3 linked regions of the Oryctolagus cuniculus genome follow. The protein of the gene in region 1 purifies or fractionates together with the protein of each later gene. This does not show direct contact. Links are inferred from orthologs where the notes say so. Each region holds a gene or a part of one and is shown in the gene's direction. Other genes may lie near its edges. The genes, in order: SAAL1, SLC27A2 and TMEM43.

Region 1 (3,647 bases):
TTCATTGAAATGCTCATCTTAAAATTAATTTGGAACAATTTATATGGTGAATAGGGTGTAAATTTGTTCATTTTTGAACAGCTGGGCATTCTCTAGTCAGACTGAAAGATGTGCATAAGCTATGACCCATCCCTGTTACATAGATACATATATGGGGAGGGCAACCTCACGTGCTCAGCAGCATACTCAGACAAGGTTATAGGTGCATTCCTTGAGATGGCCCCAAACTGGAGTCAGCCCAGATGTCCGACAGCAGTAGGCTAAAGAAATAATGTTATGTTCACATGAGGAGCCTGTGCAGCAATGAATGAAAGAACAGCTACAGGAACACCTGGATGGAGCTAACATGTGTGGTTTTATACAGAGAAATAAGACTCATAAGAATACACCAACATATGTCTAAACATCACACTGGACCCAATCAGTAGTACAATTATGTGTCAGCAAACACAAAGATGGAAAGATAGGCTGGCGCCGCGGCTCACTTGGCTAATCCTCTACCTGCAGCGCCACATCCTGGGTTCTAGTCCCGGTCAGGGTGCTGGATTCTGTCCCGGTTGCTCCTCTTCCAGTCCAGCTCTCCGCTGTGGCCCGGGAAGGCAGTGGAGGATGGCCCAAGTGCTTGGGCCCTGAACCTGCATGGGAGATGAGGAGGAAGCACCTGGCTCCTGGCTTCGGATGGCGCAGTTCGCTAGCCGCAGTGCACCTGCCGCAGCGGCCATTTGGGGGGTGAACCAACAGAAAAAGAAGACCTTTCTCTCTGTCTCTCTCTCTCTAACTCTGCCTGTCAAAAAAAAAAAAAAGATAAATAATAACCAAAGGCATTTTTAGGAGAAAAATGCAGTATGTAATTTATTTCATATAAACTTTAAAAGCAAAACCAAAACTATATAAAATGTAAAAGTATGTGTCGCTCCCCCTCTTCGTGGAGGAACGACACAGGACCCTGCGCTGTTCTTTCGTCTGCTCGGCCCTCCCCGGGTTTGCTGCTGGTTCTTCCCGGGTTGGCTACTATCCCTTCCACCTCCGTGGAAGGGCAGTTCCCCCTGGCCACATTCCCCACTTCCGCAGGGGAGCGGCACACCGCCGGCCGGCTCTCTGGGGGCTGCACAGGTGTTCCCTTAGATGTTCCCCTTAGATGTTCCTCGTGCATGCCGTCTCTCTCCTCCTTTATAGTCCTCCTCCGCCAATCCTAACTCGGCTGCCCACACACCGAGTACGCTGCTCTCCAATCAGGAGCAAGTCCTACAGTTTATTGGTTGAACTGGAGGCAGCTGTGCGGAAGCTGTTTCCTCCTCTCCCAGCGCCATATTGTGGGAGAGCAGATGCATAGAATAAGTCTTAATTCCAGTAACTCAGTCCAGTCCGGGCTGCTCCCCACAGTATGGAGCAAAACAAAGAAATGATTGCTAGATAAGTCAGGATGGCATTCATTTCTAGGTGGGAAAGAGAATGGTAACTTGGAGTGGACACATTGGGGCTATGCAGATGCAACACTGTTGCATTGTTCTGTTTGGTAGAAATGTGAATGCTTTCTAATTGTTGATTATAGATTTGTATTTTACAGGCTTTTCTACATGTATACAGTATTTCACAAAAATATTTAAACGAAAACTCTGATGTTTGAAATCAGGAAAGTAGGATTTAAGGCTTAACTCTGTTGTTTTTGTAGGGAGGTGTTACTACACTGTTTATATGATTCAGACCCTCCTACTCTGCTGGAAACAAGCAGGTATGCTTTTCTGTTTTTATGAATTCTTTACCCCATAAAAACCCATGGGGAATCTAGGAAAATAAATCTTCATTCTCAAATGTCCTTTACTTGTTTTTTTGAAAAGATACTAAACTCACATTTATCATATAGGTTGTTGCTTACTTGCCTTTCCCAGACAGAAGTGGCCAGTGTCTGGGTTGAAAGGATCCGGGAACATCCAGCTATTTATGATAGCATTTGCTTCATCATGTCAAGTTCAACAAATGGTATGTACATGTAATCTAGAAGAAAATATTCTAGATTATGTTTGGAAGCTATATAACTTTCTAGAAGTCACTTTTTAAAAAGAAGGTCAGGGGCTGATGTGGTGTAATGGGTGAAGCTTCTGCCTGCAATGCCAGCATCTCTTATTGGTGCCAGTTCAATTATGTGTGCCTCTACCACCTACATGGGAGACCTAAATGAAGCTTTGGTCTCCTGGCTTTGGCCTCGCCCAGTCCTGGCCACTGTAGCTATCTAGGGAGTTAATCAGCAGATGGAAGATCTCCGTCTATCCTGCTGTTCTTCCCTCCCTTCCCTCCCTCCCCTCCCCTCCCCTCCCCTCCCCTCCCCTCCCCTCCCCTCCCCTCCCCTCCCCTCCCCTCCCCTCCCCTCCCCTCCCCTCCCCTCCCTTCCTTCCTTCCTTCCTTCCTTCCTTCCTTCCTTCCTTCCTTCCTTCCTTTTGAAAGAGTTACACAGAGAAGAGAGGCAGAGAGAGACACAGAGAGGTCTTCCATCCCCTGGTTCACACCCCAGTTGGCCACAACTGCCGGAGCTGCGCTGATCAGGAGCCAGGAGCTTCCTCTGGGTCTCCCACATGGGTGCAGGGGCCCAAGCACTTGGGCCATCTTCTAATGCTTTCCCAGACCATAATGGAGAGCTGGATTGGAAGTGGAGCAGCTGGGACTTGAACCGGCACCCATATGGGATGCCGGTGCTTCAGGCTAGGGCATTAACCTGCTGTGCCACAGCACCGGCCCCTCCTGCTGTTTCTATAACTCTGATTTTCAAATAAATATTTTTTTAAAGATTTATTTATTTATTTACTTGAAAGACAGAGTTACAGAGAGGCAGAGTGAGAGAGTGAAATCTTCTATCCACTGGTTCATCCCCCCCAAGTAGCTGCAACAGCTGGTGCTGAGCTGATTCGAATCCAGGAGCCAGGAGCTTCTTCTGGATCCCCCATGTGGATTCAGGGGCCCAAGGACTTGGGCCATCTTCTACTGCCCTCCCAGGCCACAGCGGAGAGCTGGATCGGGAGAGGAGCAACGGGGACTCGAACTGGTGCTCATATGGGATGCTAGTACTACAGACGGCAGCTTTACATGCTACACCACAGTGCCAGCCCCCTCAATCTTTTTTTTTTTTTTCAAAAAAAAAAAAAAAAAAGGGCAGATGTGTGGCACAGCAGTTAAGATACCACTTGGGACACCCACTTCCCATATTAGAGTACTTGGTCAAGTCTCCATTCGGCTTCAGATCCAGTTTCCTGACAAGTGATGGTTCAAGTACTTGGATCCCAGACACCCATGTGGAAGACCTGGATGGAGTTCCATGCCCCTGGCTTTGTCCTGGCCCAGCTGCTCATCCTGGGCATTTGGGGAGTGAATCAGTAGATGGAAGATCCGTTTCTATGTTCCTGCACCCCATGTTTCCCTCTGCCTTTCCAAAAAAATGAATAAATAAATAAATAAAACTTAAAAAAGGCTAAGTGAAAGAGAAAGGTTTTGTTTCATTTTTTAAGATATACTTGTTCATTTGAAAGTAAGAGAGAAGTAGACAGAGATCTTCCATCCTCTGGTTAACTCCCCAACTGGCTGTGATGGCCAGGGCTGAGCCAGACTGAAGCCAGGAGCCAGGAGCTTCATCAGATCTCCCACCTGGTGTGGCAGAG
Region 2 (3,540 bases), on another chromosome or scaffold:
TTTTAAAGGAGCAAAGCCTCATAAGCAAAACAAATAGCTCATTGTTTTTTTCACTTTCCTTTCAGGTCATGAGGGTCGAATTGGCATGGCCTCAATCAAGATGAAAGAAAACCATGAATTTGATGGAAAGAAACTCTTTCAGCACGTTGTTGATTACCTGCCTAGTTATGCAAGGCCCCGGTTTCTCAGAATCCAGGTGGGCCTCTTGTCCAGTTCAATTCTCTTCCCTCTTGGAGACCTCTGTCCCTTAGCGAGCAACCTCCCTTCCCTGCTTTGTGACTGCCTTTGCCAAATTGTTCACCACCCTTTCCAGGAAGCTCAGAAAGGAGGGGCATAAATCTACATCAGAAGACAGAAACATCAGGAAATACAGTCACCAGAAACCCAATCCTAATCCTAATCCCTTCCTTGCCAGTTCAGCCAGTTCATTTAGCAGCAGGCCAAGAGCTCACAAAGTCTGTCTGGAGAGGTATGACAGACACTTCACAAAGAAACGCTCTGACCATACTGGATTTGTTGATTCTAGTTTCAAAGAATGGAAAAAGCCACTACGTGTTCCACGTTTTCATGGTGTCAAGTTTCTTTTTTGTTTTTAAGATTTATTATTTATTTGAAAGGCAGAGTGACACACACAGGAGTTGAAAGGGAAGAGTAGGGGGAGAGATCTTCCACCCACTAGTTCACTCCCCAAATGGTCACAATAGCGTGGGCAGGGCCAAGCCAGGACTCCATCCTAATCTCCCAGTTGGTGGCAGCAGCCTAGGTCCTTGGGCCATCTTCCGCAGCCTCCCCAGGCACATTAGCAGGGAGCTGGATTGGAAGCCTGGCAGCCAGGACTCCCTGGGGCATTCTGATATGGGCTGCCCACCAGGTGGTGTGAAGTACAATTGGGCATCATTAACCATTTGGAACTAGGAAGACCTAGCTATCTCTTCTAGAGACATTCTTTTCCTTCCTCAAACATCAACCCTTTTGTTAGTTTAACACTCTTACTCTCAGACTCTCTGCTCTGATTCGATACTACAGCCACAGACTGGAGGAACGTTAGGATTCCAAGTATTGTTTGGCTGTATAGGGTTGTTTCTATTGATGTTAATGGAACACTGACATTTACTTTGCAACCAAATGGTAAACAAACATGAAAAAGGGGTATTTGGATATTTCCAGTAACCGTGAAGGAAAAACCAGTCTTAACCAGTCTTCAGTCTATCAGCAAACAGACTGAGAAAACAGGGTTGTCTGAGCGTGAATGCTCTATCCTCTTATTCCCACCATTAGTTAGGATATTCTAAAAATGTCCGGGGCCTTACCAGGCAGCAGGTGCCACCCCTATGCTCAGAAATACGCACAAGTGGGGCTGGCATTTGGTGCAGCAGTTAAGATGCCACTTGGGATGCCTGCGTCCCATATCAGTGTGCCTGGTTTGAGTCCTGGCTCCACTTCCAATCTAACGCACAATCTGAGGGACAGCAGAAGATGACTCAGGGTTGGGGTCCCTGCCACACATGTGGGAGACCCAGACTGAGTTCCTGGCTCCAGGCTTTAGCCCGGCCAACCCCCTGCTGTGGAGGGAATTAGGGAACTGAAGCAGCAGTTGGATGATCTCTGTCTCCTTGCCTTCCAAATAAAATGAAAAATAATTTTCCAAAAATCTATACACAGGAATCTCCCTGGTAGCATCCCCACAGCCTTCACTCCCCACAGGTGATCCTAAAGCTTTGAGACAGAGCGCCCATCTGCTGGTTCACTTGAAACCAGCAACTGGGAAATCAATCCAGGTCTTCCATGCGGGTGGCAGGACACAAGTACTTGAACCACCACCTGCCGCCTTCCAGGGTACACATTAACAGGAAGCTGACATCAGGAGTGGAGCTGGGATGTGAACTGGCCCCTGCAATATAGGATAGGGGCATCCCAAGTCGTGTCTTAAATGCTAGGCCAAGCACCCACTCCAACCCTAAGGCTTTACGGGAAGAAAAACTACCTCATGATAGTCGGGCTCATTAGTGGAGATTCTAAAAGCAGGCTGAATGGATAGCACTAAACTTTCACCTCCCTAAGTCAGCCACAGGAAGACACATACCACATGTTCTCCCTCGTATGTGGAAATTTTAAAATAAAAAATTGGCCTGAGCTTTGAATAGCGATTACGAGAGGCTGGGAGAGAGAGAAGAGGAAGGCAGAGGGAGGATCAGTAATGAGCACCAAGGCGGTCAGATAGAGGTGCTGGGTTCCTGGCATGACTGTAGTTCCCAGCAATGTGCTTTGTAAACAACTAGTAGGCTGCAAACACAAAGACGAGGAAGTGGAAAAACTAGTTGCCTGGTTTCATTGGTTTATGCTACATGTGTGTGTTGAAATATTGCACTTAGGCCCTCAGAATGTACAGTATTACATAGTAATAAAATTTTTTTAAATAAGAAAAAAACAGCTCATTTCGCAGCTATCCCTGAGCCAGAGATGCCAAATGCCCGTGCCCTCCACTGCCCTGAACCCTCATCTACTGCAAGCACAAGCCTCACGTGTGTTCTGTGATGTCTTTCAGGACGCCATTGAGATCACTGGGACCTTCAAACACCGCAAAGTAACCCTCATGGAGGAGGGCTTCAACCCTGCAGTCATCAAGGATACCTTGTATTTCTTGGATGACACAGCGAAAATGTATGTGCCTATGACTCAGGACATTTATAATGCCATAAGTGACAAAACTCTGAAACTCTGACTATTTCCAAGAGGATAATGTCTAGTTCCAGAAAGAAATGGAATGGACCTAGAACAGCCATTTGATATAATTCAACTTTAATTTAATCGAAGATTGTCACGTTCAGTTATTTTTATTAGGAAATTATGCATACCAGCAAGGGACCACTTTTTAAATTACAACTAGACCTTTGCAAGTGAAAAGATTTAGAGATAATTATTTTCCAATGTGCACTTACTGTTTGTATTTGCAAACTGAGCTTGCTGGAGGGAGGGCATTATTTTTTTAAATAAATAAAGTAGATGAACACCAGCATGTGACGTGACACTGTTTTTTATGTTCCTTCCTGGCTTTATTCTAAATGAAAATCCTTTGTCATTTACTCCAAAGCTTGACAACCTCCTTAATAAGTTTTCACAGGCAGGTGTTCCACTCACTATAGAATTCTGAGTTTAAAAAAAAAATAGAAAAGAAAAAATGGGGGTGGGGTTGGCACTGTGGTATAGCAGGTAAAGCCACCCCCTGCACTGCCGGCATCCCATATGGGCACCGGTTCAAGTCCTTGCTGCTCGACTTCCGATCCAGCTCTCTGCTATGGCCTGGGAAAGCAGTAAAAGATGGCCCAAGTTCCTAGGACCCTGCACCAGCGAGGGAGACCCGGAGGGGGCTCCTGGCTCCTGATCAGCGCAGCTCCAGCCATTGCTGCCAGTTGGGGAGTGAACCAGCGGATGGAAGACCTCTCTCTCTCTCTCTCTCTCTCTCTCTCTCTCTGCCTCTCTGTAACTTTGCCTTTCAAATAATAAAATAAAATTAAAAAAAAAAAAAAACAGGAGGAGGCT
Region 3 (3,747 bases), on another chromosome or scaffold:
AGCACAATGAAAGTGAGGTATGCCCGCGGTCCTTGGAGAGGGAGTGGGACAGCTTTCGGGTCCAGGGAAGCAGCCGTTCTACACCCAGGCAGAAGTCCCGCGGTAAAGACCCGGCATATTTCTTTATTCATTTTCGTTTCTAACATTTTACTTATTCTCATCTACTTGACAGAGAAAGGTCTTCTTCCATCCACTGATTTCCCAAATGCTGGCCAGAGGGGGCCAGGCTCACACCAGGAGCCAGGAACAGCCTCTGGGTCTCCCCCCAGGGGGTGGGCAGGGGCCCAAGTACTGTAGCCACCAGCCGCTGCCCCAAAGGCGCATTAGCAGGGGGCTGGATGGGTGGCCACCCTCTCTGGGCCTCAGGACCCATAAGTTAAACTGAAGGAGCAAAGCTGTTCAAATTTCTGTCTGAGTGCTAACTCCACAGCTGTGCATCCGCTGCAGCCCACCAGCCGCTCCCCCGGCACCGAGAACGCGCCGCCGAATGAATGAGGCCCGGCGCCGGGGGCCTGGCGGGGTCGGGGGTCCGCTAGGGCACAGGGACCCCGGTAGTGTGGCGAGGCCCAGGGACGGCTCTGGGGGGCAGAGCAGCAGGGCCTCCAACCCCGGCCCCACCGGCTTGGCCGACTCACCTGCGTCTCGGTTTACGGCTCCATAAACGCAAGCGCAGAGCTAGGAATATGCTCCAACGGTGCAGGGGGCGCTTCCCGCGCCCCGACACCGCACACGCCTCCGTGGAGGGCCCGCGCGGGGCGCGAACAAGTCGCCGCAGCACAATCCCACCTGCGAGCCCAGCGCTCGCTTCCCGGGCGCCCTCCGGGCCTGGTCTGCGGCTCTCCCACGTGCAGGCCCCTCCGAGCTCCGGGTTCAGGCTGCACCGTGACCTTGGACCAGCCCCGTTCTTCCCAGAACCCCGTTTTCTCTTCTACACAACTCCATGTGGCGACCCCGCCGCCCGGTCAGCCCCGAGGTGGGCACCCCCCGACCGCGCCTCGGGGAGCCCTCGCCGGCCGCGGGGGCCACAGGGGCCACAGGGGCCGCAGGAGCCCGCGCGTCTCCCACAGGCCGGCGCAGCCCGCTCTCCCTACCTTCCTGCCGGCAGTAGGCCATGGCTGCGGCCCGGCGACTCGACCTCGCACCGGCGGCGGTGGCGACGGTCACGCCGTGACCTCCCTCTACTCAGGCAGGGCAGACAGACGGCTGTGAGGCCCGCGCAGACCCGCCCCCTCCAGGCCTGCCCGCCGCGCGCCTGCCTCCGCGCCCTCGCAGCGCCAGCCCGGCTCTCCTCAGCCAGAAACTACATTTCCCAAGAGCCTGAGGGGCCCCTTGGCTGCCCTCCAGAAGGTGGGAACTACATTTCCCAGGAACTCTTTGCGGCGCGCAGGCGTGCCAGTGAATCTCGGGCGTATTGCTACTTTGTGAAGAAAATGCCCGCCGCTGGTTTAGCTGCGCGCATGCGCAAAAAAGTTGGGGTTCCCTCGGGGCGGGGACTGCGTAGCAAGTTGCTCCTGATCCCGGGCTCCACGCGGAGTTGTTCGGCGGTAGGGCAGCGAAGAGGCCGCGAGACTCTGCACTCCGATCGTCCTCCGGACCAGAGCGAGTGGGCGGCCGCGACTCGGGCCCCAGCATGGCGGCGAATGTGAGTGCCTCCCGGTCGGCCGGGCCACACCCAGGCCGCCCCGTCTCCCTGCTGGCCGCCCGGGTCTGAGGGGCTGTCCGAGCCTCGTCGCAGTCTCGTCCGCTGTCGCTCGGCCTGTCCGTCTTGCTCCCGTCTCTGTCCGCTGTCCTCGGCGCGGCTCGCCTTGCGGGGCGCGGCTGCGGGGAGCGGGGCTCGGGAGGGGTCGCGCCCGCCTCGGCTTCTCCCAGGCCCCGCCTGGCTCCTCGGGGGTCTGAACCCCGCGGCACTGGAGAGCCGGGCGCGGCCTCGGGGAGGGGGCCGGTCCGTCGCGGGGGCGGGAGGCGGATCCCGCCCGCGGGGAGCTGTCCAGCGAGGGACAGACCGGGCAGAGAGCGAGACCCCCGCCCAGGGGCTGCGATGCCGCAGAGGGGCCCGGGCCGGGCGGGGAGGGCTGCAGAGGAGAATCGCGTCCCTCGGCCCGCCCTCCACTCCCCTCCCCTCCGCTCCCCTGCGCTCCCCTCCTAGCGGATTTGGTCGGAGGGGCCCTGGCCGGGGATGGCCTTCAGGGCTGCCAGCCTCTTTGCAACCTACAGAACATTCATTCAACAAACCTCGCCCTCCTGCCGGGGTGTCGGCTGTGCGAGAAGCTGGTGACTCACTCCCTTGCTCTGTGGAGCCAGCTCCAGCACCCTGCCAGCCCAGACCCGCCCTCCCGGGCCTGTCACTCTCTCTTGCCAAGGCTACTGCTCTCCCCAAAGGGACCCCGGGAGGCCAGGGTTTGTGTCGCCCCTTGCCCCTGGCACAGTGCCCTAGAAAAGGCGGGCGGAGGACCGCCAGGGCAGACGGTTCCAGGAGACCCGCCTGGCCCTGCAGCAGGCGGCGCCGCCATCCATGGAGTTCACAGATGGGGAATTTGCAGAGCAGGGGAAGGGACCTGCCCAGGGTCTCACGTCCACCCTGGCGCACACCAGGACACGGGAAGGTGCTGAGGACTCAGGGAGACCTGGGGGCACACCCGCTCTGTAGCTGTGTGGCCCTGCGCTCGCTGGATCTGTGTTTCTTCACCAGCTCAGCACAGAGCCTGTTCCCAGCACCGAACAGCAGGTGGTTCTCACAGCCTTAGCGCGCCTGGCCCGGGTGTGTCACCAAGAAACGGGGGTACCTTTGGGCCGCCTCTGCCGCCAGGCTCTTGCTGATCTGCAGAGCTGGGGACACGTCGATGGCAGCCACCAGGACTTTGTCGCGCATCTTGCTACTTTGTGGAGAAAATGCCCGTCGCTGGTTTAGCTGCACGCATGCGCAAAAAAGTTGGGGTTCCCTCAGGGCGGGGGAAAGATCTGAAGAGTGGGGAGAGGGCAGCATTCGCTATGACAGTAACTGTCCCTTGATGAAGGTAGTGACCCCTTCTGCGTTTCCTAAGTGAGTAGGCGGGGGGGGGGGGGGGGTGGGGGGTCAGAGAAGCAGAGCAACTCACCCAAGGTTGCCCAGCAGCCGACCGGCCAAGCAGGCGCTGTGAGTCCTTGTTCCCACCACTTGTTCAAGCAGCTGAGCCTGGAGTGCCCGAATGTGTGTGTGTGTGTGTGTGTGAGTGTGTCACTGGGAGGAGCTCATTTGCATACCTCCTCCCTGCCCCTCCTGAGTGTGGAGTGTGGGAAATTTGGTTCAGAACCTGGGCTGGGTGCTGGGTGTGTCTTGTCACTACCCACCTCCCTCCAGCCTGGCAGGGAGCCTCCTGGGCCTCTCTTCCTTCCCTCCAAGGCCCTCCTGGAGCCCTTGATGCTGGCCACGGGGTGGCCCAGGAGGAAGCCATGCCTGCAGCTGGCACCCAGCGTTCACCTCACATTTCAGCCCCAGCACTGAGTGACACAGACGTGAGCTTCGTGGTAGAAAAATCCAAAAGGCCGTGAGATCTGGGCAGACGCCGAAACTGCTGAGACTTGGTTTTTCTCACCGGTGAAATGGGGCATAGTGAGTGTCTGTCCCCCGGATCTTGCCCACACCTGGCCCATGGTAGCCTGGCAGGTCTGCATCGCCATCCTTACCATGGCCAATGGTCAGCGACCCACCTGCTGACAGAGTCCAGCAGTGTATCTGTTGATACCGGAAGTCAGGTTGTTTCTGGGTGC

Evidence for each region.
Region 2: the proteins of SAAL1 (region 1) and SLC27A2 purify together in Homo sapiens (co-immunoprecipitation; 3 studies listed by BioGRID and IntAct, with this or other methods). This does not show direct contact. The link is inferred for Oryctolagus cuniculus from reciprocal best matches to the Homo sapiens genes SAAL1 and SLC27A2.
Region 3: the proteins of SAAL1 (region 1) and TMEM43 purify together in Homo sapiens (affinity purification with mass spectrometry; 3 studies listed by BioGRID and IntAct, with this or other methods). This does not show direct contact. The link is inferred for Oryctolagus cuniculus from reciprocal best matches to the Homo sapiens genes SAAL1 and TMEM43.

Annotation. Positions count from the first base shown.
Region 1 is NC_091432.1:48,224,875-48,228,521, forward strand, and holds part of SAAL1 (protein SAAL1), read left to right. Parts: intron 1-1,672; coding exon 1,673-1,732; intron 1,733-1,864; coding exon 1,865-1,980; intron 1,981-3,647. UniProt on the Homo sapiens protein: Plays a role in promoting the proliferation of synovial fibroblasts in response to pro-inflammatory stimuli.
Region 2 is NC_091443.1:73,007,117-73,010,656, forward strand, and holds the end of SLC27A2 (long-chain fatty acid transport protein 2), read left to right. Parts: intron 1-65; coding exon 66-196; intron 197-2,545; coding exon 2,546-2,722; 3' UTR 2,723-3,013; downstream 3,014-3,540. UniProt on the Homo sapiens protein: Mediates the import of long-chain fatty acids (LCFA) into the cell by facilitating their transport across cell membranes, playing an important role in hepatic fatty acid uptake.
Region 3 is NC_091441.1:113,066,471-113,070,217, forward strand, and holds the start of TMEM43 (transmembrane protein 43), read left to right. Parts: upstream 1-1,381; 5' UTR 1,382-1,630; coding exon 1,631-1,642; intron 1,643-3,747. Other genes in the region: CHCHD4 (mitochondrial intermembrane space import and assembly protein 40), read right to left, coding at 1,092-1,113. UniProt on the Homo sapiens protein: May have an important role in maintaining nuclear envelope structure by organizing protein complexes at the inner nuclear membrane. Required for retaining emerin at the inner nuclear membrane.